Linked DNA regions of Xenopus tropicalis. The protein of the gene in region 6 purifies or fractionates together with the protein of the main gene of each other region. This does not show direct contact. Links are inferred from orthologs where the notes say so. Each region holds a gene or a part of one and is shown on either strand. Other genes may lie near its edges.

What was found.
Region 1: the proteins of ddx6 (region 6) and atxn2 purify together in Homo sapiens (affinity purification with mass spectrometry; 6 studies listed by BioGRID and IntAct, counting the BioPlex papers as one, with this or other methods). This does not show direct contact. The link is inferred for Xenopus tropicalis from reciprocal best matches to the Homo sapiens genes DDX6 and ATXN2.
Region 2: the proteins of ddx6 (region 6) and mcrip1 purify together in Homo sapiens (affinity purification with mass spectrometry; 3 studies listed by BioGRID and IntAct, with this or other methods). This does not show direct contact. The link is inferred for Xenopus tropicalis from reciprocal best matches to the Homo sapiens genes DDX6 and MCRIP1.
Region 3: the proteins of ddx6 (region 6) and lsm14b purify together in Homo sapiens (affinity purification with mass spectrometry; 4 studies listed by BioGRID and IntAct, counting the BioPlex papers as one, with this or other methods). This does not show direct contact. The link is inferred for Xenopus tropicalis from reciprocal best matches to the Homo sapiens genes DDX6 and LSM14B.
Region 4: the proteins of ddx6 (region 6) and ybx1 purify together in Homo sapiens (co-immunoprecipitation; 4 studies listed by BioGRID and IntAct, with this or other methods). This does not show direct contact. The link is inferred for Xenopus tropicalis from reciprocal best matches to the Homo sapiens genes DDX6 and YBX1.
Region 5: the proteins of ddx6 (region 6) and dcp1b purify together in Homo sapiens (affinity purification with mass spectrometry; 6 studies listed by BioGRID and IntAct, counting the BioPlex papers as one, with this or other methods). This does not show direct contact. The link is inferred for Xenopus tropicalis from reciprocal best matches to the Homo sapiens genes DDX6 and DCP1B.
Region 7: the proteins of ddx6 (region 6) and ago2 purify together in Homo sapiens (affinity purification with western blotting; 5 studies listed by BioGRID and IntAct, with this or other methods). This does not show direct contact. The link is inferred for Xenopus tropicalis from reciprocal best matches to the Homo sapiens genes DDX6 and AGO2.

Annotation. Positions count from the first base shown.
Region 1 is NC_030677.2:163,145,338-163,148,837, forward strand, and holds part of atxn2 (ataxin-2), read left to right. Parts: intron 1-502; coding exon 503-635; intron 636-1,480; coding exon 1,481-1,626; intron 1,627-2,195; coding exon 2,196-2,420; intron 2,421-2,773; coding exon 2,774-2,936; intron 2,937-3,500. UniProt on the Homo sapiens protein: Involved in EGFR trafficking, acting as negative regulator of endocytic EGFR internalization at the plasma membrane.
Region 2 is NC_030686.2:27,788,063-27,792,221, forward strand, and holds the start of mcrip1 (mapk-regulated corepressor-interacting protein 1), read right to left. Parts: upstream 2,801-4,159; 5' UTR 2,765-2,800; intron 2,720-2,764; exon of another isoform or gene 2,436-2,719; intron 2,083-2,435; exon of another isoform or gene 1,978-2,082; intron 1-1,977. UniProt on the Homo sapiens protein: The phosphorylation status of MCRIP1 functions as a molecular switch to regulate epithelial-mesenchymal transition. Unphosphorylated MCRIP1 binds to and inhibits the transcriptional corepressor CTBP(s).
Region 3 is NC_030686.2:4,395,869-4,400,025, forward strand, and holds the start of lsm14b (protein LSM14 homolog B), read left to right. Parts: upstream 1-1,357; 5' UTR 1,358-1,402; coding exon 1,403-1,523; intron 1,524-2,997; coding exon 2,998-3,161; intron 3,162-4,157. UniProt on the Homo sapiens protein: mRNA-binding protein essential for female fertility, oocyte meiotic maturation and the assembly of MARDO (mitochondria-associated ribonucleoprotein domain), a membraneless compartment that stores maternal mRNAs in oocytes.
Region 4 is NC_030683.2:94,734,004-94,738,171, forward strand, and holds the start of ybx1 (nuclease-sensitive element-binding protein 1), read right to left. Parts: upstream 2,801-4,168; 5' UTR 2,646-2,800; coding exon 2,546-2,645; intron 1,293-2,545; coding exon 1,229-1,292; intron 411-1,228; coding exon 377-410; intron 60-376; coding exon 1-59. UniProt on the Homo sapiens protein: DNA- and RNA-binding protein involved in various processes, such as translational repression, RNA stabilization, mRNA splicing, DNA repair and transcription regulation.
Region 5 is NC_030679.2:9,162,395-9,165,894, reverse strand, and holds part of dcp1b (mRNA-decapping enzyme 1B), read right to left. Parts: intron 2,465-3,500; coding exon 2,329-2,464; intron 395-2,328; coding exon 269-394; intron 1-268. UniProt on the Homo sapiens protein: May play a role in the degradation of mRNAs, both in normal mRNA turnover and in nonsense-mediated mRNA decay. May remove the 7-methyl guanine cap structure from mRNA molecules, yielding a 5'-phosphorylated mRNA fragment and 7m-GDP.
Region 6 is NC_030683.2:80,846,744-80,850,243, forward strand, and holds part of ddx6 (probable ATP-dependent RNA helicase ddx6), read right to left. Parts: intron 1,029-3,500; 5' UTR 752-1,028; coding exon 555-751; intron 5-554; coding exon 1-4.
Region 7 is NC_030682.2:146,755,608-146,759,763, reverse strand, and holds the start of ago2 (protein argonaute-2), read right to left. Parts: upstream 2,801-4,156; 5' UTR 2,563-2,800; coding exon 2,541-2,562; intron 1-2,540.

The DNA.
Region 1 (3,500 bases), on a different chromosome or scaffold from region 6:
AGAACTTGGCATGTATGTACATAATATTGCGTAATGCTGCACATTACAAGACCCACTCATCCATTGCGCAGCTTGAAAAAGGATAACTTTGCACATACTGCAGTGTACCTGTTCCTTCTTAGAGCACCAGCCATACCTGGCTCTCCTAAACAGGTACATTGTGTGGTGGGGTCACTGAAGCTTGCATTGTGCAGTGACGCTCTGGCTTGCCATGTTCCATTGCATTATATTATTGGTATGATGTGCAGTTCTTTGTATAGCCTTTGTTATTCGGCATCTGTCCAATGTCAGAAGAACTAGGAATCCCAGCCATTTGAAAAGCACAAAATGTTTTCTTTTTAAGTCTCTCCTATTAAATTTTGCAGGTCTAAATTAAATTGGCCCAGTCACTTCTTTTACTTTTTTTTTGCAACTTTTAAAAAAAATAATTTTAAAATGTTTCTTTTTTCCAATTTATTTTATTTATTTAAAATATATCTTTCCACTATTTTGTGTATTTCAGCACCCACATGTATATAGTCCTGTGATACAGGGGAACACAAGAATGATGGCACCACCATCTCATGCACAGGCTGGCCTTGTATCCTCCTCCGCTGCACAGTATGCCACTCCTGAACAAACTCATACCATGTATGGTAAGTACCCAAATATGCAAACTAATCTGCTGTAAACTGTTTATTGCAAAATGTGTTTTTTCTGTTGATCTGTCAATTGTTGAAATTTGAAGCAAACTTGAAAATTATTTGGCCCAGTTAGTATTTTAAGAAGGTTGGACACACTTGAGTTAGGCAGTATTTACTAAAACTATGGTGTTAAATGCATGCCAGTATTTATTCTTTGTTGGGTAGATTAGTGAGTTCAAGCCAACCTGAAGATTAAAAAAAAAAATGCACTGCCTTTTGGTTTAAAATAAGGAATGGATTGTAACTGGAATGCAACTGCACCAGTAGCAAACTGTAGGTATGGGCTCTGTTGTCTGGAATGTTAGGGACCTAGAGTGTTCTGGATGGGGGATTGTTCAGTGATTTTGACCACTACAACTTAAGTCTGCTAAAAATCCTTTAAACATGAAGTAAACCTAGTAGGATTATTTTGTCACTAATATGGATTCATGCAGCCGAGTTACCATTAAGTACAAGCTACTGATTTATTATTTGCTTAATATTGAGTCTATGGGAGATGTCCTTCCTGTAACCTGCAGTTTTCTCAATAACCGTTTTTTTCAGATAAGGCATGTCATCCCTATACCTTTACACTGTTATAAATATGCAACCATGGTCTGGTCACAGTGCATCCCTTGATAAATATTACTCTAACATTAAGTGCTGTTTTTATTGGGGGATAAATATATTAATGGGTACAGAGTGTTACACCTCCATTGTTCGTTTAACATGCATGGTAACATCCGTAGACCTTTTTGTCTTTAGAAAATGGTACAGTTTTCAATTTTTTTTTTTTTTTTTTTTTTTTATACTTTTAGTTTCAACTAGCTCATTAGCACAGCAGTATGCTCACCCAAATGCAGCCCTGCACCCACACCCACCTCATCCTCAGCCTTCAGCAACTCCTACCGGCCAACAGCAAAGTCAACATGGGGGAAGTCACCCAGCTCCAAGTCCAGTTCAGGTGAGCTAATGGAGTTGTTTGAACGTGCATCTCTTGAACTTTGTGTGTGTTTCTGATACTGTATGTTGTGGTCTTAGTCGATGGTGAAGGAGAGGATGCTCGTAAGTTTACTTCCTTTCCAGTAAATTGTTAGATTTTCTATATTTTCCATATTTAACAAGCCACCCCCAGTTTCCCTATGTCCTATTGCTGGGTATGGTATAAATTTTGAATCTTAACTGGCCATTTTAATAGATTTCATGTCTTACTGTGCCTCTTTGCCTTTGGATGAATACATCATCCAGTCACTGCCCCAGTGGAGCCTACAGTCTAAGGTCTCTATCACATTCACTATGGTCAGTTTAGAAGGAACCAGTTGATCTGCCTGTATGTTTGAGTGTGGGAGGAAACCTACACATATTTACAAACTTCTTAATTTGCACCTTTTTAGGGGGTGTTGTCACACTTAAATTTTTAAATAAATTCTTATCTTATTGTGTAATTGTTTGCCTGCCTGCCTGTATGTATGAATAAATTAATATATTCCTAAACCCCCCCCCCCCCCCCCTTGCTTTGCTAAATGATTACAGCACCATCAACATCAGGCATCACAAGCTCTGCATCTGGCTAACCAACAGCAGCAGTCTGCAATTTACCATGCAGGACTTGCTCCAACGCCCCCTGCCATGACACCAGGCTCCAACGCACAGTCCCCACAAAGCAGCTTCCCAACTCAACAGACTGTGTTTACCATTCACCCATCACATGTCCAAGCAGCATATACCAATCCGCCTCACATGGCCCATGTGCAACAGGTAATCAGTTATGTGTAATTTCATAATGGTATAAATAATCCGTGTACAATGCAATAATTGTTGGTCTTCAAAGCTCTTCAAGCTTTAATCTGTGTCTCATCTATCTATCTCTATATATCTATCTATCATCTATCTATCTCTCCTTTAAATATGTTTGTAACATGAGAGATATTCTGGAAACAGACCTGTGATGTTATCTGATAAAAAATATTTCATGCATTTTGTGATCAGAATAAAATCCTTTTTTTTATAAAAGGGGTTACCGGTAAGTGAAGACAGTAGTAATAACACACCTGGGATTTTCTCTGGTTATAGTGCAACATTTATACATTCCTATAAATGTATTAATGCAGGCACATGTACAGTCTGGAATGGTTCCTTCTCATCCAACTGCTCATCCCATGATGTTGATGACTGCTCAACCACCTGGGGGGCCTCAAGCTGCTCTTGCTCAAAGTGCCCTACAGCCCATTCCTGTCTCAACTGCACACTTTTCCTATATGACACATCCTCCAGGTTAGTAGTTTGGCCTCTTATGTGGCCATGAGCATTAGTCAAAACTGAGGAAATGGTTATGTTTTTTTCGCTTCAGTTATTCTTGCCATAATGGCAAGGCAGTTTTAAACACTCCTGCTGTTGAACCTTTTTATAAAGCTGCTGCTAAAGAACTTCTGAGTATCAGCCTTTTCTCTGGTGACTTTTGTCTGTAAACCCATTCTAATGACTTCACTGGTATGTGAAAATGGCTTACAGATCATAACTGCAAACAGTTAACTTTGAGTAGCTATTACTTGCTCAAGCATGAAGACGGTGCTGCACAAATTCCAACAGAACAGAATAGGAATGGAGCTTACAACCATCGTCACCATAAGTGAGCACTGAAATGAACACAGCCTGGCTGAGCTGTTACAGAAAAGCTATTGTGTAGCAGCTTTTCAAAAGTAACGGCAGAGAAGATTTATTTCAAAGTTGGTTTTTATTTGCCCTTTAAAAACTCTGTAGTCTTCATTTTGTAGAAAATGTATTCTATTTGCATGAATTTACAGTTGTCTATTTTATTTAATATTTTATATTCAAACC
Region 2 (4,159 bases), on a different chromosome or scaffold from region 6:
AGGGGGGGAGCAGGAGGAGGGAGAGAGCAGCATAGCCTCCAGGAATGGAGAATTTTTCTGAGAGAGGAAGTCAGATGCCCAAAAAACAGGTTTACAAAAAAAAGGAGACAAGAAACCCTGTGTTTCTTTTGATAGAGGAGTGCAGCTTTTCTGTGAGCGCTTATGTCTCCATCCCCTTTACTAGTTTAGTTGCAGTCTCTGCACTCTCTCCAGCTCATTAATATCCTTCTTAAAGACTGGAGCCCAAAACTGCACCCCATAATCAAGGTGAGGCCTTACCAGGGACCTATAAAGAGGCAAAATTATGTTTTCATCCCTTGAGTCAATGCCCATTTTATACAAGACAGCACTTTATTTGCTTTAGTAGCCACAGAATGACACTGCCTGGAATTAGACAACTTGTTATCTACAAAGATCCCCAGATCCTTCTCCATTAAAGATCCCCCCACTACATTACCATTTCATTATCCATCTCTACTTCATCCTTGATCTGGCTGCAGTCTGTAAAACTTAGTTTAGTTGTACATTAAGTAGCTGCTCTATTATGGGTGAAGACACAGACCTACTCGCAGTAGCTACTTGTCATTGCTACTAAAATAGACAATGCTGATCATTTACGGATAATCGTCTTTGTTTTAGCAAAGGCAATTCTCATTGTCTATGGCAGGGTATTTTCTGGCGCTTAGTAGCAGTGACATGTAGCTGCTACTTAGTAGCTCTGCCTTCACTCTTAAGGTTACTGTAAGAAAGTATATAAAGATAAAATTATATGGAGTCATAATATAATTCTTCTCTTTTTATAAACAGTCTTAAAGTGGCCATACAAACTAAGATCCACTCGTTTGGCGGATGGGCGATATCGGGCTAATTCGGTCGTTTGGCCCTGGGGTCAAACAATCAAATTACAACAACAGGTATGGGCGTCAGCCGATTCGGGGACCACATCAATGAGCCAATCCAGTCCCCAATTCCACTAAATTTCAAACCTGCCCGATCGGCAGGCCCGTCATTAGTGTCCATACATGGGTTGATAAGCTAGCGAATCGGCCTAAGGCACCAATATCGGCAGCTAGAATTGGCCCATGTAAAGGTCCCCATACACGGGCCGACTATAGCTGCCGATATCGGTCCTTTGGACCAATTCGGCAGCTAATCGGCCCGTGTATGGGCAGAACAGAGCGGCCTTGGGACCGATATCTGGCCTGAAATTGGCCAGATGTTGATCGACCAGGTTAAAAAATCCAGTCGGATCGGGGACCGCATCGGCTCGTTGATGCGGTCCCCGAACCGACTGCCCCATAACCACAAATGTAATCCGATTGTTTGGCCCCAGGGCCGGATTATTTTTTTTTTAAGCTAGTTTCTACCCGATATCGCCCACCTGTAGGTGGGGATATCGGGTGAAGATCCGCTCGCTTGGCGACATCGCCAAGCGAGCGGATCTTATAGTGTATGGGCACCTTTAGGCCATCTTAATTGATTGTGAATTATTAAATGCATTAGTTGCTCCTACTATTTATTAGTTGGTTACATTTTGCACTCACAAACACATCTGCATCTCATCCCTAAGCACAAACCCATCACCTTTCAGGAAAATTCATAACATTAAGCTTAAAGCACAGGCAACACCATATTACAAATCTTTACTGTTGCCTGACTAGACTGGTGGCACGCATGACGGTTTCTCAGCCTGCATATAAACACCCACGTGTGGCATTAGCCTTACACAGTATAATAGACAAGTACCAAAAAAAAATGAAACGTGGCACCAAATAACTACGACTAGTTCTAATTTTCAAACCTTCAGTCTACATGCATACTAGCACTTAGAAGGCAGCCATACACCTAAAGATCCAATTGTTTGCCAATCTTGCCGAAGGAGCGGCTCTTTCCCCAAAACGGCCACCTGGCCCTCGGGCCAACCACTGGATCATAGGCAAGGGGAACGCAGCCTTGACAAGCGAATGTGTTGCTCACCCCAATGGGATTCTTAAACCTGCCGATAGATCTCCATCAGGATATCTGTTATACACAGCAGATAAGCTGCAGATTCCATCGGAGAGGGCTGAATGTAGTGTTTCCCTGTGTGTCACAAGCACAAACACTTTATCAACTTTCTTGAACTTCTGTTGTTTCTGTCACCACCAGGGGATTACTGGGGAAATAGAGCCGATTAGCTGATTAGCAATTATGTGTTTCCCACATCTCCATGGCGATTTGGTTGGAAAGGTACCAGGCTGCAACCATAACAAAGATCTCTCCAACCAAAGCCCTAGGGTAACACAGCCAGATCCTGCCCCACAGACATTAATCAGCCACCAGTCCCCAATCAAGCACCAGCCTCCTGCTATAGGATATTTACGAAATATTTTGAAAGGGTGAGAATTCCCAGGTAAGAAACATCCCAATCCCAGGCCATGCCGCCGGGCACGTACTGTGGAGCCATGGGTCCCGCCGCGCAGCCTCACACACTTCAAATAAAATGACCTATCAAAGCCCACTTGGTATTTGGAAAGGATTCCGCTCATTCTTAGCGTCGCCCTACAAGCACAGTGAGACAGGCTGAAACCCCCGGCTGTGACTCGCCAGCTGGAGCGCTAGGGACGCCAAGCGGGGAGCGCTAGAGACAATAAAAGCGGCACAGCAAACCGCATAAGCGCGGAGAATGAGGGCTACAATGAGAAACATCAACTAAGCGCATGTAAATGTGCCAATTTATACAGCCCGTTCCCTTTTGGAGGTTCCGTTACTTCCGCTTTCTCACCCTTCTGCTGTATTTCTCCGGTTCCCAGCTGACCAGGCCCCGAACGGAAATGACATCAGAAGAGGCAGGCCTCCGCTAATAAATGACGCGCCCCTTAGCGGTGGTCACATGGTATAAGAGATGCCGGGCGAGTTAGAGCGATGCTCTGGTTACTAATGTTCCATGTAGTAGAACCATTAAAAAGTTAGACATATGCAGTGCTTTTCCGCGTCTTGTTTTTGTGCTTGCTGGAAATTATGAAGGCAGTGTGTGGGGCAAAGTTTGCTTATGGTGCAATAGCCTGAGTTGTGTCAGTGTCCATACTGGTGCTAAGTCCGGGGTTTCCAAGTATCTTTGCGTGGGCACCATAGTAGCTTTTATACATGCAAATACCAGTTATATGAATGGTTTCTATGGGTGCTCAATTTGTGCCCATTTGTAGCGTGTCATAATTGGTTGCATTGTAAATACTATCAGGGTGTGTTTAGGGCGCACGAATGTAAACATAGATTTGTCACGGTGCAACAAATCTCCCTTGTTGCGGGCGACCAATCTCCTGAAATGCTATCCCAGGTTCTGCATCGGCTTGTTGATGCGGTCCCCGATCTGACTGAATCTTTTAACCTGCCCAATTGATATCTGGCCAATTTCAGGCCAGATATCGGACAGGTATGGCCGTTGTTTCTGCCCCTACACAGGCCGATAAGCTGCCAAATCGGTCCAAGGGACCGATATCGGCAGCTACAATCGGCCCGTGTATGGCAGCCTTAAGGGCCGTGACAGACGGGGAGATTAGTCGCAGTGCAACAAATCTCCCTTGCTGTGGGCGACTAATCTCCCCGATATGCCATCCCACCGGCGATTTACATTCTAGCTGGTGGGACGGCATTTCGGGGAGTTAGGTTGTCCGTGACAAGGGAGATTTGTTGCACGGTAACTAATCTCTCCATGTGTCACAGCCCTAAAGGTTCTTTTGTCCATATTAGCATTTTCAAATTTCCATGGTGACATATACAACCTCACATTCTGTGTGATGTAATGAACATGTGCAATGACATCACTTCCTCCCAACTATGTCTCCTGAGTTGTGTGTTAGCCGGAGTGACTTGGCGTTGGCTCTTACTGTGCTTGCACACATTACTATACAGGTAATTGCACTAGCAAAACGATGTCTGCGGCTGCCCATTGTCACTTATATACTTCCTCTGGCACACTATTTCCAGGTGGTCATGGTGATAAAAAGCATTTCCCTTACATATCATTGGATAGTCTTATAGCTCTTTTACCTCAACCATGCAATCTATTCCATTTACATGTACAAGATGCCCATTATAGGTTATCACCATGGCAGCCTCTTATCAGGACATAGAAAGATTTTTTTGGAAAATAACCTATTCATAAGGGCAAGAACCCACA
Region 3 (4,157 bases), on a different chromosome or scaffold from region 6:
TACCCACTAACATTCATCTGTGCAGTTGGTCACATTTAAAAGTCAAGAATGTGTTTATGGTTTATAGTTCTATTAAAATCTTTCTTCCAGTCTTCTGCTCAAAGAGCTGCCTGGTTGCTGGGAGCCAGTTAGTCCAGTTAGTTAGACTCTAGCAGCCAGTTAGTCCCAATTCCAAACTAGGTCAAATCATGCAAAAAATATGATGGATATGAAATAAAGATTAACCACAAATTGCTATTTGCCATGTCCTTCTAAAACGTTAATGTCACAGGAACAGTCTCTTTAAACGTTAAAGGGGTGGTTCACCTTTGTTACCTTTTGGTATGTTATAAAACTGCCTAGTCTAAGCAACTTTTCAATTGGTCTTCATTATTTATTTCTTATCGTTTTTGATCTATTTGCCTTTTTTTTCTGCCTCTTTCCAGCTTTCAAATGGGGGTCACTGACCCCGGCAGCCAAAAACCTATTGTTCTGTGAGGCTCCAGTTTTATTGTTATTGTTACTTTTTCTAACTTGTTTTTCTCTCCAATTAAGTTACCATCCTCTCATTCAAATTGCTCCCTAGTCGCTAAGGTAATTTGGACCCTAGCAACGAAGTAGTTGCTAAATCTCCAAACTACAGAACTGCTGAACAAAAATTGAAATAACTAAAAAAAAACCACAAATAATAAAAAATGAAGACCAATTGCAAATTGTCTCAGTATATTACTCTCTACGTCATACTAAAAGTTATCTCAAAAGTGAACAACAATACTAAAACACAAGGATTTTATTTTAATCTTGATTGAATTCTAATCTATAAAGCCGGCCCAATGTTACCGTTGTCTCATCAATTGGGTGGTACAAAAGGTTTTGATCGGGCGCCCAAGCGTTTAGTGGTAGAATTCCTATTGTTTCTACCTCCATATCTGATAATTCAGACCTAAACGTCAACGGGGGGGCAAGAACGACCTGGTCGCAGGAATGATAGTAATTGTAACTTGTATTAAATGCTTAAATGGTGACTGCTGCAAAATCGCTGAACAAAATAGTTATAGTCGGAGCTATATCCCACCAATAATATGGCCGACCATCCACCATTACATACGTCCACTACGCGTTGCGACGCTTGCCGTGCTCTATCGAATTGCTTTTACGTCACCAGTTGCCGGGACTAGCCTTAGCCAATGGCTGCCTGAGACGTCACAGCCCTCCGTAAGGTAAAAAAACACAGGCACACGAATTGCGCAGCAACAAAGCTGCGGGTTCCGCTAAGCCCCACCCCCTGGCGTGTCGGGGCGGGGGAGGGCGGTGCCAGAGGTGTGGGTATAAAAGGTGCAGTAGTGGGCGGCCCCGGGGCAGTCTAGGGGACCCTGAGGAAATATTCGGGAGACAAGAGGGGCCAGAGGCCGAGCCGAGCATCATGAGCTCGGGAACCCCGTACATCGGCAGCAAGATCAGCCTGATCTCCAAGGCTCAGATCCGCTATGAAGGCATCCTGTATACCATCGATACCGAGAACTCCACCGTGGCCCTAGCCAAAGGTGCGCAGCGGGCCCCTCGGGTGCAATAGGGCTGACATTGGGCTTTTGGTCGGGGCAAGGCTGACACTTGCCGATGGCTAGCGGGGGATGCTGGGAGTCGTAGTCGCCAGTCCGGTGGGGGTAGGCGGAGTGTTGTTAGAGCCTGGTGCTTGTGGCGGTAGGTGGGGGGTAATTGGCGCAGGTGGAAAGGGGTAATTGGGGCAGGTGTCGGAGATTTGGGGTAATGTGACCGTGGAGCCCACACTGCCCCCTGCAGGAAGGACTGACCCATTAGCTTCAGCTCGTTAGTGGCCCTGCCTTCTGCCCTGTGATTCGCTGCTGGGTGGGGTAGAATGGTATTATTGTTATGGCTTCCAATTCTCCCACACTGCCCTCTGCTGGTAGGGGCCACTCATAGGGATTGCACTTCCCACCTATTCCCCTCTCTGCCATACCCACCCCAGTCTCTGCCCTTGTGCCCCCCTAGCCACCCCAGTCTCTGCCCTTGTGCCCCCCTAGCCACCCCAGTCTCTGCCCTTGTGCCCCCCTAGCCACCCCAGTCTCTGCCCTTGTGCCCCCCTAGCCACCCCAGTCTCTGCCCTTGTGCCCCCCTAGCCACCCCAGTCTCTGCCCTTGTGCCCCCCTAGCCACCCCAGTCTCTGCCCTTGTGCCCCCCTACCCGCCCTCTTGCCCAGGGGTTCCCAACCTGCTGTCCTCCAGGGCCTTTAGAACTACAACCTCCATCTTACCTGGACAGCAGGGGGAGACAAGATTCTGCCTCCAGTGCACCCCTTATATTATATTACCCGCCCCATACTAGATTCTGCCTCCAGTGCGCCCCTTATATTATACTACCCCCCCATACTAGATTCTGCCTCCAGTGTGCCCCTTATATTATACTACCCCCCCATACTAGATTCTGCCTCCAGTGCGCCCCTTATATTATACTACCCCCCCATACAAGATTCTGCCTCCAGTGTGCCCCTTATATTATACTACCCCCCCATACAAGATTCTGCCTCCAGTGTGCCCCTTATATTATACTACCCCCCCATACAAGATTCTGCCTCCAGTGTGCCCCTTATATTATACTACCCCCCCATACAAGATTCTGCCTCCAGTGTGCCCCTTATATTATACTACCCCCCCATACAAGATTCTGCCTCCAGTGTGCCCCTTATATTATACTACCCCCCCATACAAGATTCTGCCTCCAGTGCACCCCTTATATTATACTCCCCACCTCCACATGCCCTTTTATACTTCTACCCCCTCTCCCTATTGGCAGGGAGCTGCGTGCCTTTCTGGCAGTGCTGCAAAGCCCTGGCACATCCTCCCCTGCTCAGTTTAAAGACATTAAGGCACTAACGAGCTGCGAGTTGCTTGCGTTATAGATTGCAGTGGATCAACCCATCTCTGGGATCCCACAAACTGACATTTCCAGCCAAGTTCCTGCTCAGTCGTTGACTAATCTTCACTCTCTAATTATAATTAGTCCGCTCGTTTGGGACGGAAGATCGCCCGACTGACCGGCCAGCCCCGCCTCGGGAGGAAGTCTACGAGTATATCATTTTCCGCGGCAGCGATATTAAGGACATCACCGTATGTGAACCCCCAAAGGCTTCCCATGCTCTTCCGCAGGACCCGGCTATAGTCCAGGTATGTTGGGCCGGCGCCACTCATGCGCTTGGTCGTTTGAGTCTCCTATTTGTTTAATATGAATCTTTAATATGGTTTAAAGTCTACCTAGCAAGCTGTATTGTGCTGCTCCTGGCTGCTCAGTGCTGGGCTGGCCGGCACCTAGGGCAAGTGGCTGCAGGGGATCCACATACATTTAGAGCACATTGTTGCCCCCATCCCTGATACTCCAATGTGACGTCATTAATAAAGGGTAAGTGAGCTGGGGGGGGGGGTAGTCACATTTCTTGAGCCCCTTCCACCATTTTGTTCCTGGTATTCTTGGACTTTGCTGCTGTATCTGTCTGGCAAGGAAAGGGTTAGGGAGTATTTCTGGCTAATTGAGCGGCGCCGCTGGATTTGGTTCACGTTTATATAACCCTCGTGTCCTAGAATTCCCTGCTGTAGCAAATTTAATGATAGCGAGCGCCAAGGATGAGCGCTGTGGTGGGGGGGGGGTGAGTAAGCAGTAAATAGCTCCTAATGGGTGGGGAGGGGTAATGCCGTGGCTGGGGAGGCGCGGGACTGCCAGGGCAACCGGTTTGGGCCTATAATTAGCCAGGGGGCAATTAGCAGAAACCTAAAAACTGTTTATCAGTGGGCAATGGGCAGCGTAAGCTTGGGAGCCCTGGGTGGCATAAACCTGCCGAGCCGTGGCTAGAGCCTTACCCGCTATGGGCAGAGTAGGCTTGGGAGCCCTGGGTGGCATAAACCTGCCGAGCCGTGGCTAGAGCCTTACCCGCTATGGGCAGAGTAGGCTTGGGAGCCCTGGGTGGCATAAACCTGCCGAGCCGTGGCTAGAGCCTTACCCGCTATGGGCAGAGTAGGCTTGGGAGCCCTGGGTGGCATAAACCTGCCGAGCCGTGGCTAGAGCCTTACCCGCTATGGGCAGAGTAGGCTTGGGAGCCCTGGGTGGTTAATGGGTGCCATAAACCTGCTGAGCCGTGGCTAGAGCCTTACCCGCTATGGGCAGAGTAG
Region 4 (4,168 bases), about 14 Mb from region 6:
GTTTCACCATCTCCCACACTGCGAAGGTACTTCCTAGGGTTATTCTTCTTGATGGCAGTCTAAAAAAAATATATTTTTTTTTTTAAATAAAAAGACATTAAAAGAAATCTGAACAAATGCTGAAAACTGATTAAATCTGCTTTTGCTCTATCTAGTTCCATGGCAATATAAAAAGGTGTAGGAAAATGTCCTATCCAACTGTGGAACAGTCATGACTTTCTATTCAGTATGCATTCTTTTATTACACCAAGGCAATCCGCTTTGATCAACACTATACTCAAATACAAGTTACCATATTAGAAGTTATAGAATACATTTTCTATACTAGATTGGACTAGACATCTGTAAAAAAAACCCAGATAAGTGGAATACTTACTTGGTGTACAAACACATCTTCCTTGGTGTCATTCCTATAAGGATAAAAACAAAATGTTAACGACAAAAGGTAGAAATTTTCACAGCACAACAAAGCTAAACAAAACAAAAATAGATTAAAGGCTTGTACTGTGCAAATTAATTTATATGTATAGGTCAAACACTAAAGGCAACATAAGCACAAAAATAGGAATAATGCTGGAAAGGCATTTTTTCTACCAACCACAAAGCATTGCCTTTAGACAAAGAATGGGCAAATGAAAATATATTTCAACCAGCATCCTTTTTTTCTCCATAAAGCCCACATCATATAGCTCATTTCTGACATTTTAGGAAAGAAGCCATCTTATATAATTGTTTTTAACAAACCGATTTATTTGGTTTATGTGAAAAAAGTACATTTCCTTTCAAAAAGCAGAAAAATCTTAAGATACAGTCGAAAGGATAAGGGAAAGCTGAATTAAAGCATGCCAGCCCTGGCTACTGGGTGCAATTACTGTTTTTGTTGTGTATCTGAATTTCTACAACAGCGACAGGCAAAGATCATTTTCTTGGCACAGGCATTCATAGAAGTACAGCGCTGAAACCGGTAGGCAGTGCTACTTAGGAAGCAAGCAATACAGCAGCTCCCCATCTCTATAAAAACATTTTTAAACTATGCCTTCCCCAAGTGTTAAGTAATTTAAGTAACTTCTGGTATTGCTTAACCGCATATCCTGGAATATATACTTGCTAAACCATATTAAAACAAGCATTTATGGGAAGTACCACGTGCATGGCCCCGAAGGGTCAGGCAGGCTGTAACAAGTTTACCAAATTACTAATCTAAGTTGGGGCAGAAATATGAACTCACCTGTTAATGAAGCCGTAACCATTGCGCACATTAAACCATTTGACCGTACCCAAAACCTTGGTTGCTGAAAGAAAATAAAAAATCGTTAGTTTGGAGTGAGGCACAAGATCAATCTAATATGCACAATAGAGCAATCACTTTCTGGCAGCACAGTAGCACCATAAACACAGGGGGTGGGTGGTGGTTTGGAAAGCTAACTTTTACAAAAAAAAATAATTAGAAATTATAAATACTAGTTACATGCAACTTATTGATCAGCAGCCAGTGAGATACAAGCCAAAGCAATACATAAACACTGCTAGTTTAATGGCTATCTGGACATACAACTTCAATGGCTACTGGGCCAGGCACAGCTATACAGTAATTACATTGAGTAGGATGGATGGGGGTGGATGGGGGAAGAGGAACAAAAACAAAGCCCTATCCCATGGCCCTGGTAGCAACATTTCCTGAGGGAAAGTAATGCAACTGGTTGTGTGCATTCCCACTCACTGCTATATAAACACACGGAATTACAATTAAAGGCATCAGCAAACAAACATTGCTATTTGGGGCCATAAGAGTGTTGTCAATTCTTTTTTTCAAATGAAAAACTACAACTCCCAGAATCCCCGTTTATTGCCAAGCGCTATAAAGGCTGCTACTAAGCAAGCCGAGTGCAAAGATAGACTAAAATGGCTCTCATGCCCCTCCCGCTCAGGCCCAGGCGGTACGAGCAGCTCCGTGCCACAACTACTCACACACCACGTGGCTGGAGCCGGGCCAGAGCCGCAACCCGAGCAGCCGGGACACACGGAGCCGCCAATTCCCAGCGCCATCACGGCCCTCACACTCCCCCGTATGTTTGCAAAGCAAACGTGAGGCCAGAGGCGCTACTGGGGACCCAGCAAAGGCGCGGCGGCATACAAAAGAGGAGGTGGGGGGGGTGTAGGCCGCAGGCGGCGGCGGACATGTTACAGGCCCTATTCCTCTCAGGACACAGGAAGGGATGATGTCACGGCGCTGCGGGGGGGGGGGTGATGTCACGGCGCCGGGGGGGGCAGAGATCCGTCACCAACAACTCCGCGTGGCACGACACTCCACGTCGGTGTAACCGCCACTCACCCGCGCCCTATAGTAAAAGCGAAAACCGCTCCCTCACACTATAAATAAACAGATAACCGCGCCTGTTTGTGCAAATATCTAGTAATCGCCTTAACCAACGTGACTGCACAGGGGATGCTGGGAGTAGTAGTCATATTGAGCCTGACGCGCCAAATACCCAGCCCTGCCTGTGTCCGAGAGGCATCTCTCGTATGCTAATTCAATCGTACTTACCGATGACCTTCTTCTCCCCCACGGTGGCCGCCGGTTCCTGGCCGGCCTTGCCCTCCAATGCGACTGTCTGCTGCTGTTGTGTTTCAACCTCGCTGCTCATTGTGTCTTTGATGGTGTAAGTTGGCTGCTTTCGGAGGTGGTGACTCGGGCCGGCGGTTGGCTCGCTTTAACTTCCCCCCGGGGTGTTGATGGTAACTCAGGCCGGCGGTGGGGCTGCTGCCTTTCGAGCTCCCTGCTGTCCGCTCTCCGCTCCCGCTACCGATCGAACTGCCTGGCAATGGCCTTACAGACGGGTTAATCATCGCAGACATCCCGCCCTGGCTATTATCCTATTGGTCAATTGGCTTGTCAGTCTACGGGTTTAGTAAAAAACTCTGCAGTTGTATGGTCGAATGGCTTGTCAATCAAGAATCGACGCGCTCTGTTTGGATGTGTTCCTTCTGTAATCTTATTGGCTAAGGCAGATGTCAATAACAGGATTGGAGGGATTAGTCTCTGCCTCTAGCGTCTGCATTATTGGATGGGATGTAGCTGTTGAGCTCTAAGGCTGATATAAACAGTGATCAATAAAGTGTAAGGTGTGGGGGGTAGGATAAATGCAATAAACTATTGGGCAGGTACCTCAATATTTGACTTGTGTTTAGTTCAGCTGTTTCCCGGCACATCAGCCCTTATGAGCTGAAGGTAATGATACCAGATCACTCATATAAGGGGTTGTGCTTAGGCAACGGACTCTGTCTATTGTTATGGCGCTGAGTCCAAATCCAAGGTTTTATGGAAGTATGGCGTATTGCTTATTTCCTAATCCTCGGATTGTCTAACGGGCAGGCCCCCCCGACCTCATGTCTTGATTTCTGTTTGTTTCTTCGCAATGGTGTAATTTCTGCCTTATTGCTTATATTTTCCCAAATACATTACACAGCAGAGTATATTAGTGTTTTATAAATGGGCTTTAATAATAGCGGGAATAGTCACATCAGCAGTACACTTGCACAGCCTAACTTGCAGTATGCTCCATAGCTGCAATAACAGCATGCACATCGCAAATACTAATATAAATGTGATAGTTTAAGACACATTAAAATCTATCTCATATAATTTTAATAAAACTCCACAAAAGCAAATGAGAATTAAATAATATGAATTAGTCTTTCTGACTGGTTAGGTCAGATCAATAATGATGTATGAGCTGACAATTCATGGTTCAACACTGACTGATTACTGGTCTATTAAAGGAACAGTAACACCAAAAAATGAAAGTGTTTTAAAGTAATTGAAATATAATGTACTGTGGCCCTGCGCTGGTAAAACTGGGGTGTTTGCTTCAGAAACACTACTATAGTTTATATAAATAAGCTTCTGTGTAGCCATGGGGGCAGCCATTCAAGCTGGAGAAAAGGCACAGGCACATAGCCGATAACAGATAAGACACCATTGTATTCTACAGGATTTATCTGTTAGCTGCTATATAACCTGTGCCTTTTCTTCTTTTGAATGGCTGCCCCCATGGCTACACACCAGGGTTTATATAAACTCTAGTAATGTTTCTGAAGCAAACACACAACTTTTACCAGTGCAGGGCAGCAGTACATTATAGTTTAATTTCTTTGAAATATATACATT
Region 5 (3,500 bases), on a different chromosome or scaffold from region 6:
GCTGCATCAACGAGCCGATGCGGTCCCCGATCCGACTAGATTTTTTAACCTGCCTGATCGATATCTGCCCGATTTCAGGTCAGAAATTGGTCGGGCAGGCCAGTCGTTAGTGCCCCTACAGGGGCCGATTAGCTGCCGAGTCTGTCTAAGGGACCCATATCGGCAGCTACTATCGGCCCGTGTATGGGGACCTTTAGGGTAGGCCACTGCTCCCTTCTAGGTGGGTCACAGTTAGGAAAGCACAACCCTAAGCCCCTACTGCTCTCACCTCTAACGCTCTCACCTTTCCCGGCTGGGACTCACTGGGTTTAACAGCAATGGGCTTGATGAGGTTGGGGTTGGTGTAGATGGCCGATGAGCTGGTGATCATCTTGGGCTCGGAGCACGACTTGCACTGTGCAAAGAAACACAACAATCAGACACTTCCATCTCTCACAAGTGGGTACGGAAACATTTGCACTTGCTTTCTGAAACCAACAGTTTCCTGACTCGTAGTAGGCTTAGTTTTCCTTTAAACAGGCAACCATATTTTTTTAGTAATTTGGCCACTGCCACTGTTCCAGCATATACAAAAAGTCACTGTATTGTCAACTCAATAATATGCCAGTGGAAGACCTACTAAGAGAGAGCTAGATATAGAGAGATAGATAGATAGATAGATAGATAGATAGATAGATAGATGGATGATAGATTGATAGATAGATAGATTTTATAGATAGATGACAGAGATAGATGATAGATAGATAGATAGAGAGATTAAATAGATAGATGATAGAGATAGATAGACAGACAGACAGATAGATAGATGATAGACAGAACTCAATAATATGCCAGTGGAAGACATACTAAGAGAGAGCTAGATATAGAGAGATAGATGATAGATAGATAGATAGATAGACAGATAGACAGACAGATAGACAGACAGATAGACAGACAGACAGACAGACAGACAGACAGACAGACAGACAGACAGACAGACAGATAGACAGACAGATAGACAGACAGATAGACAGACAGATAGACAGACAGATAGCCAGACAGATAGACAGACAGATAGACAGATAGATAGACAGATAGGCAGATTATAGACAGATAGCTAGATAGATAGACAGATTAAATAGATAGATGATAGATAGATAGATAGATAGATAGATAGATAGATAGATAGATAGATAGATAGATAGATAGACAGATAGATAGATAGATGGACAGACAGACAGATTAAATAGATAGATGATAGAGATAGATGATAGATAGATGATAGATAGATAGATTAAATAGATAGATGATAGATAGATAGATAGATAGGCAGACAGATAGATAGATGATAGACAGAACTCAATAATATGCCAGTGGAAGACCTACTAAGAGAGAGCTAGATATAGAGAGATAGATGATAGATAGATAGAGACAGATAGATAGATGATAGACAGATAGATAGATAGATGATAGACAGATAGATAGACAGATTAAATAGATAGATGATAGATAGATGATAGACAGATAGACAGCTAGATAGACAGCTAGATAGATAGACAGATTAAATAGATAGATGATAGATAGATAGACAGACAGATAGACAGACAGACAGATAGATAGATAGATGGACAGACATACAGATTAAATAGATAGATGATAGATAGATAGATAGATAGATAGATAGATGATAGATAGATGATAGATAGATAGATAGATAGATAGATAGGCAGACAGATAGATGATAGACAGAACTCAATAATATGCCAGTGGAAGACCTACTAAGAGAGAGCTAGATATAGAGAGATAGATGATAGATAGATAGACAGATAGATAGAGACAGATAGATAGATGATAGACAGATAGATAGATGATAGACAGATAGCTAGATAGATAGATTAAATAGATAGATGATAGACAGAACTCAATAATATGCCAGTGGAAGACCTACTAAGAGAGAGCTAGATATAGAGAGATAGATGATAGATAGATAGATAGATAGATAGATAGATAGATAGACAGACAGATAGATTATAGACAGATAGCTAGATAGACAGATTAAATAGATAGATGATAGACAGATTAAATAGATAGATGATAGATAGATGATAGACAGCTAGATAGACAGATTAAATAGATAGATGATAGATAGATAGATAGATAGATAGACAGATAGACAGATAGGCAGACAGATAGAGAGATTATAGACAGATAGCTAGATAGATAGATTAAATAGATAGATGATAGATAGACAGATTAAATAGATAGATGATAGACAGACAGAAAGACAGACAGACAGACAGATAGATAGACAGACAGACAGATATACGGGATTGTATTCTCCACACTCACCTTGGTGTACTCATCCTTGGCTTTGGTTAACATCTGCAGTATATCTGCCCCCTTCCCATCCCCTGTGCCCAGGGGCATTGGAGAGACTCCGCTGGCAGCTCCCTGTTGGGCTTTCAGTTGCTCCTGCTGAGTTAAGCTGGGAATGGAAATATAAGGGATATTAAAAGTCTTATTTTTATGACATTGCCCGGATGTGCCCAGTGGCACTGGTTCTGCTGTGTTACTTAAGAGCCACTGAGCATTCCCTGTGCAGCAGCTCTGTGTATGTGATTGGGCATCTCCCAGCATAGAGTAGTAAGGGAAAGGCCTGTAAAGCTCTGCGTATACATGTCAGGGCTATATAAATATGGGGTGAGAATTAGCAGCGAGTAACGTCCCCCAAGGAAGACCTTCCACTCACAGAATAAACTCTGTGAGTAATTGGAAATTATTATCCACATGTTCCTACTGAACCCAAAATGGACCATGTGGGACTGGGCTATAATGTACCATATGAAGGCGGCAAATATTGATAATCAGTGTGGGTCTACATATTATTGATTGGACAAATACAAATATACAGAGAAGGAATGTTCTGGGCACACAATAAGCTGTACCCCCATACTGTACTGTCTAAGGGAAACACTATGGCACCCCCTACCCATATGTATAAATACAAATATACAGAGAAGGAATGTTCTGGGCACACAATAAGCTGTACCCCCATACTGTACTGTCTAAGGGAAACACTATGGCACCTCCCTCCCATATGTATAAATACAAATATACAAAGAAGGAATGTTCTGGGCACACAATAAGCTGTACCCCCATACTGTACTGTCTAAGGGAAACACTATGGCACCTCCCTCCCATATGTAAAAATACAAATATACAGAGAAGGAATGTTCTGGGCACACAATAAGCTGTACCCCCATACTGTACTGTCTAAGGGAAACACTATGGCACCTCCTACCCATATGTATAAATACAAATATACAGAGAAGGAATGTTCTGGGCACACAATAAGCTGTACCCCCATACTGTACTGTCTAAGGGAAACACTATGGCACCCCCTACCCATATGTATAAATACAAATATACAGAGAAGGAATGTTCTGGGCACACAATAAGCTGTACCCCCATACTGTACTGTCTAAGGGAAACACTATGGCACCTCCTACCCATATGTATAA
Region 6 (3,500 bases):
AGGTCTGCAAGTAAACAAAATAGTTCAAATGTATTATTAAACATCAGTAAAATGTATGATGGCACATATTTGCGTTATAAGTTATTCCTATACATGAACATTTGTAGATTACCCTAACAATAGACTGTGCTATTATGTGCTTATTATGGCCAGAGCATATTTGACCACAGACATTTGATGTAATGGATTTGTGGCCCAATGTATGAAAAGGGTGCAGACAAAACCAATATAGAGTTTTGCTTTGAAGACCACTTCTGGCCACTATTTAAAGGCAAGTCATGTCAGCAGTTGTAAATGCATGTCTGTAATAACTATGCAGTTCAATTTTAATAACAAGCGCCATATACTACAAAGTGCTACTACACAAACCTGCAGAAGATTCCAAGATGACTAAGCAATTGTACAAAAGACTAGACATTACAAATACACATCTCAGGACACTTCCATTATTATGAATAGCATGTTTTGTTTTCTTAAAAATAAAACATGGATAAACCAGAGGCCCAAATAAGGTTTTTATAAGTGGTGATAAAACAAAGGTAGAGTATACTCACTTTATAACGCTGCTCATGCTCTGTGCTTGCTGCTGACTGCCACTGTTGATTGTGCTGGCATTTTTCAGCTGGTTTATTTGTTGTGTCTGTGTCCCCCCACCTCCAGGCCCTGCACTGGGTTTCAATGGGCCTCTTAGCTGCCCATTCTGGCTGGACATACCCATTAAAACAGGGTTCTCGGTTCTGGCGGTGCTCATTTTGTTTTGTATTTAATTAAATTGTCCCTTTGAAGGTGTGTCTTTTCAGCTTCACAAGGTTTAAAGTCAGTACAGAGACTGTAATAAGTTTATTTGACTCTTCGAAATGAAGAGATAAAGTCTTGCTCAATATATGAGTCTTTGTTATTGCAACACAAGCAAGTGCTTGTCCTTAAAGTCTGTCAACAGTGAAATCACTTGCTCTGGTGCACAAAATCAATTTCCTTTATTAAAAAAAGCCCAAAACTAAGAATAAAGTCCGTTCCTTCAAGTCAATCTAGAATAGAAAAAAAAAATTAAATTATTAATATACCTTAAATGAGGAAGCCCTGTTGCCAGGTTCTATTTACTATGCATTTATGGATAGTGGGAAACACTTCCACAAGCTTGAAACCAAGAGACACTGGGAGTCTCAAACACAACTTTGCAGACTGTAAAAAGCTATGGGTGAAGACAGAGGGGGCAATAAGTAGCTGCAGCTTTCGAGAAACCCCCAGTCACAGAGACTAAACACAGCCGCAGCAACTAACTAGTGTAAAATATACAAGTTGCCACGACTGTGCAATACAAGTCACTGCAACTTAGAGGTAGCATTTAGTCTCTGCAACTAGATTTATCGCCCTATTTGTCTTTGCTCTAAAATGTAGTCTTAAATCTGCACCAGTCAGCTTAGGTTTTTTTTTTTTAGTTTTTTTTTTTTTTTTTTTAGAACACTGGTCTTTTAATGCAAATATATTGCCTTCACTCAAAACTAAAGGTACTAAAGTAGAAAGGACTAGACACAAAACGTCCTTGCTGCAACTAACAACATCTCTTTTGCACCAAAAGTGACAAATAAGTTTGTTATATATTATGTCCCCTGCAGTAATCTCTAACAAAAGATCCTAAACATAAAAATGTCAAAAGCACAATTGATTTTTTCAACGAGTTTGTCTTAAAGGAACAGTAACTCCAAAAAATGAAATAGCTTTAAAGTAATAAAAATATAATGCACTGTTGCCCTGTACTGGTAAATTTATATAATAAGCTGCTGTGTAGCCATGGGGGCAGCCATTCAAGCTGGAAAAAAGGAGAAAAGGCACAGGTTACATAGCAGATAACAGATAAGTTCTGTAGAGTACAGTAGTGTTTTATCTGTTATCTGCTATGTGCCTGTGCCTTTTCTCCTTTGAATGGCTGCCTCCATGGCTACATAGCTTATTTATATAAATTATAGTAGACTTTCTGAAGTAAACACACAACTTTTACCAGTGCAGGGCAGCAGCACATTGCATTTTAGTTACTTTTATACACTTTCATTTTTTGGTGTTACTGTTCCTTTAAAGGGAAAGGTCAACTTAAAATTTACTTTAAACTACTTGGTAATAGCATTTATACTTTACTTCTTTCCAGACTGAAAAAGTTACACAGCTATATATATATATATATATATATATCTCTATCTCAAAGCTACTGAACGCTAGGGTAATTAAAGGGATAGTAAAAATGTTCTCAATTTAACAAGAACATGTGACTATGCCTACATAACTGGCATCGTAAGCTATCCTTTTGTAAATGCCATCATGCCTTCCTCCAACCCAATGTTAATCAACATGTGCCAATCCCTGACAGTGTGGAAGAAGGCACCTTCATGGCATTGGCAAACATCTACCGTATATACTCGAGTATAAGCCGAGTTTTTCAGCTCCCAAAATGAGCTCAAAAAGGCCACCTCGGCTTATACTCGAGTATATATATTGAACCCCCTCCCCTGGACATACCTATTTTATACGTTAATTATTTATTGAACCCCCTTCCCCTGGACATTCTGCGTAGGCTGGAGTATATGCGGTAATGATTATTTGAACCCCCTCTCCTGGGCATACCTTCGCGCTTTAACGTGCACTCAAACCCCCCCCTGGATACACGTGCATGGGCTCCTGCGCCAGCACTCCACACTCTAATACAGTCTTGCTCGTGCAGTCCGAATTCCTGGACATACGTTCGTGCAAGAAGCGCGACTGCGCGTTCGCCGTAACCCCCGTCGCGACGTGGTGCCCCCTGACGTCACGGGGGGGTGGGGGTGCGAGCGATAGCGAGCAGCCACACGGGAACGCACACACGTATGTCCAAGAGCGGGGACTGTTTGCACGAGCAAGAATGTATTACACCTAAAAAAAATGGAACTCAGATACAAATGCCTTAAACTGTTCAACAACTGAGGTAAATCACACATAGTTTTGCCATTTTAGGATATATATTATATTTTGCTATACAGCAATGTATAACTAATTTCATATGCTGTGTTCAGCATCATTTTCTATTGCAGTTAGGCTTGATTATGTAGTATTCTGTGTTTATTACACTTAGTATTGTAGCTTTTGCTTTGTATTGATTTTTACTGTTCATATAGGTTTTTTATGTACACTTTCCATGCTTGATAGTTATTGCTGTAATAGTGTCCGATTAGTGTTTCCTTGTTTCATAGAAAGTATATCAGTGTGGGTGCTGGCATTAGCCAAGTACTGTTGTAAGGTGAAATGTGTGCCTATGTACAACTTATAGGTTTGGACCAACTATATACAACTGATTTATAGATAACAATGGGAAATAAATGTTAAAATGTCATTTATATCAAATATTTCATGTATCATATACATGTTAACATTTAAACTCAGCATGGCATATATTGGCCATACTTCCCACAGGTTTAAAAACCACTCTGCTGAGCACCATAGAACAATTAAAGTGCTGTAAATATTTTGTACTG
Region 7 (4,156 bases), on a different chromosome or scaffold from region 6:
CAGAAAGCCTTACAACTGGTGCACGTACATTCCAGAGCCCCAACACTGCACAGAGAATGTATAATGGATACCGGCTAATGCCCCAGCTGAGCTAACACTCCAACTTCCCTGCAACAAACACACGTGCAATGCTCCCATTCAAAAGCAGCCAAACTAGCAGTATATGCTGGACTATGGCAGGCAGCCCAATCACACAAAACCTTTCTTTTAACAGAACCCCATTCAGAACCCTTACTATCATGTGACTTAAGCCATGTTTAAATCATGCACCTTTACGCTAGCCATACATGGTGAGATCCGCTCCCCAAGCGAGTGGATCTTCTCCCGATATCCCCACCCACGGGTGGACGATATTGGGCTAATTTGGCCCTGGGGCCAAAAGATTGAATAAGAATGGCGGGTATAAGGTGCTGTCGGTTCAGGGACTGCGTCAACAAGCCAACGCGGACCATGATCCAACGGAGAAACCAAACCAGCACAAACATCTGGCCAATTTCAGGGCCTCAGTCGGGGAGGCCCATTGTTCGTACCCATACACGAGCAGATAAGCCACCGAATCGGTCTAAAGGACCAATATCAGCAGCTAGAATTGGCCTGTTTATTGCCACCTTTACCCCCCTTGTTTCTTTGCCAAGACCTTTCAGTAAAACACAGATTAGTGCATTGGTGTTTGTGCCCACTTCTGTCTGATTCTGACCTCAACTGCACAGGCTCCTGGCCAACAACCGCCCCAAGAGAGCTGGACATCAAGCGGCCAGAGACGGCAGCCATTGCTAATTTTTAATACAGAAAATTTGCTGCACTTTGTTTTTTCCAAGTTCTAGTTGTGCATCCCAAGATGGCAGCCCCCATTGCCACTACACAACTCTGCATCTGTTTAACAGGCACAGGGCAGATCTGGGCAGTATGGGTGGGATGGAAACCTCTGCAGGGGGTACATGATACACACATGGGTTTCCTTGTCCTTTAAAACACCATACAATTATTTTTTAAAACCGTTACAGGCAGCACTCCATAATAGCATTAAAATGACTATTATCACTACAACGGCAACAGCAACATTTTGAGCCTTATTGGCTCTCTATCAAGCTTGGGGTGTTATATTGATATTATGGCTGCAAGTGTCCAGGAGTGGGGGCCCCTGCTGGATGTGCACCCATTGCTGAATCGTGCTACTGAGTGAGTTTTAAGGTCCCCATACACGGGCCGATTCTAGCTGCTGATATGGGTCCCTTAGACCGATTCGGCAGCTAATCTGCCCGTGTATGGGCACTACCGACGGGCCTGCCCGACCGATATCTGGTCTGAAATCGGGCAGATCTCGATCGGGCAGGTTAGAAAATCTAGTTGGATCGGGGACCACATTGGCTAGTTGATGCAGTCCCCGGACCGACTTTGCCTATACCCGTCGTTATAATTCAAGTCAAATTAGCCTAGATTCTCCCGATATCGCCCACCCGTAGGTGGGGGATATTGGGAGAAGATCCGCTGGCTTGACCACATCGCCAAACGAGCGAATCTGAAGGTGTATGGCCACCTTTACCTACTGGTTTGCAATTTTTTTCCTTCAGATGAATCCAATTTACCAGCGCTGCTCATAGTTACACATGCAAGAGTGTCTGGGTCACAATTACGTAGGACAAAACGCTCACAATTAAAATGAATCCACAATCTGTTAGTCGGAGTAGCAGCTCACCCTAACATTGCCTTTAGTACAGTGATCCCCAACCAGTGGCTCAGGGCAACATGTTGCTCCCCAACCCCTTGGATGTTGCTCTCAGTGCCCCCAAACCAGGGAGTTATTTTTGAATTCCTGACTTGGGGGCAAGTTTTGGTTGAATAAAAACAAGATTTCCTACCAAATAAAGCCCCTGTAAGCTGATAGGGTGCATAGAGGTGCCTAATAGCCAATCACAGCCCTTATTTGGCTGAACATTTATGGTGCTTGTGTTGCTCCCCAAGTCTTTTTACATTTGGCTGTGTCTCACAAGTAAGAAAGGTTGGGGACCCCTCAGACAAAGTATTCCTACTACAACTCGCACTTGTGTTTTTTTTTAGTTTTCCTGCTTTTTAATGACTTGCGATTTGTTCTCCGGCTAGGAATTTAAAATGGTTGCCTGGTTACTAAGGCCCCACGTTCCCTAGCAACTACACCGCAGTCTGAATGACAAATGATAAACATACGGGGAAACCCAATAGAAAGATACATAATAAACAATATATGCCCAGCCTCCATACTACAATTTAGGGTTCCTAGGTCAGCATTGAAATGCAGCACTAAAACAGTTAAACACACAATATCATGAAAATAAAGACCAACTGCAAACTGATAGTCCCCCTCTGTCACCACTTGTTGCTGAACTACAGCTCCCAGCATTCCTAGCAGCTGGAGAGTAGAAGGACAGGTGGAGAGGCACAAGTTGGAATGACCCCCACTCCGGCTCCCCATGTGACCAGGCGGCCCTCCCGCCGTTTCCAGGGCTTCTAGGGCCCTGACTCTCCCAGCGCAGTGGGATTGGGATAAAGCAGCGCTAACTCACCCGGCCCGGCCCCGGCGTACATGTCTGCGGCCCCAAGAGCGAAGTGCGAGGGGGAAAATAAAGTTCCAGACACAGGGGGTAACGCAGCCAGTCCCGCCCCCTTCGCTGTGCACAGAACCCCTCAGAGAGCGGCCAGTCAGTCCGTTAGGGCTCCATGGTGTAAGGCACGGTGTGTGGGAGGGAATACGCCGAGTTCCCGCCTCTCGCTTCTCTCGCTTCTTTCCTTTTTTTTCTCTTTCTTTTGCGCGACATGAACTGAGGGGAAAACGGCCGGCGGACAGAGGCTGGGGGGCGGGACACGCAACGTCAAGGGGCGGGAACTCGGCGCATTGGAGGGAAGGGGGTGACGTCACACGACGCGGGCGGAGCTCTGGCCGGGGAGAAAAGGGAAAGCGGCTGTTGCTGGGCGGAGCTTTTTTCCTCTTTAGCTTGTAATAGAAATAAGGGGGAGGGGGCGGGGCCAGACGCGGCGGGTTTGGTTATTTTTCAACAATAATGAGCGGCGCTGGGTTACTCGCCGGAAGTGAGTGCTCTGCCATATTGGGTATGGGCAAATCGATAAAGCGCTAAACTTTGCCTTTGCCCGCGAACTGTGTTTATCCGAGGGCTTAAAGCGATTACATTGACGGACAATGGACTGTTTATGTCTGGTCTTCGTCATCTGCATTTTGTCTGTTAGGCTGAGCAGCCCCATAAGCCATACACCCTGTAATAAATATAATGACTATACGGTTCTGCGTTTGTGACCAATATTTGAAGGGCATTTTTTTTTTTAGAATTTCTTTATTATTTGATTTCTTTTGGAAATGTAAAATACTGTCTGGTTGCTAAGGTGAGTGGTACCCAGTAACCAGACAGCAGTGTATAGATTATTTCTTCTCATGGATGGACCTGGGCTAACAGTTAAGGTGGCCATACACTTAAGATCTGATTGTTTGGCGAGGATCTTCCCCCAATATGCCCACCGACGGGTGGTTAGACGGCAGTAACAGGCACTGTCGGATCCCACAGAAATATCAAACCTGCTCAATTGAAAGCTGGCCAATTTCAGCCAGATGTTGGTCGGGTGCCCAAACTTGGGCAGATAAGCTGCTGAATTGGTCTAAAGAACCATTATTGGCAGATGAAATTGGCCCGTGTATGGTCACTTTCAATGTTACACACCTTGTATTTTTCCACTGATATGAAGGCGCCCAACCCTTTCCTAGTGCTATCTAATGTATCTGCCATTACCAGCCCTTCAGGGAAAGAATCCCACAATTTCTTTTTTTTTTTTTTGTATTTTAACTTTTTTATTGATCATAAAACATTACAGTCAATGATTCACAAAGTTGTGTGTGGTTACATCAATAAAGTATACAAGTATGATTCATTGTGTATCATTCCTTTAGGGAAGGGGGGAGGAGGTAATGGGAGGGCGTTAGGGGGGTTGTGCGGGTCGGGGTCTTGCTTTCTCAGAGTCCTGAGCTGCTGGGAGGTGTAAAGTAAAAGTCAAAAGATGTATACATAAGGAAAACGAATGGTGTTGTAACTTCTCGAACTAAAACCAAACTGGGTGGGGTGCCTCTGAGAAGTTAACCCAGGGGTGGGCAAACTTTTTGGCTCAGGGTCCACAT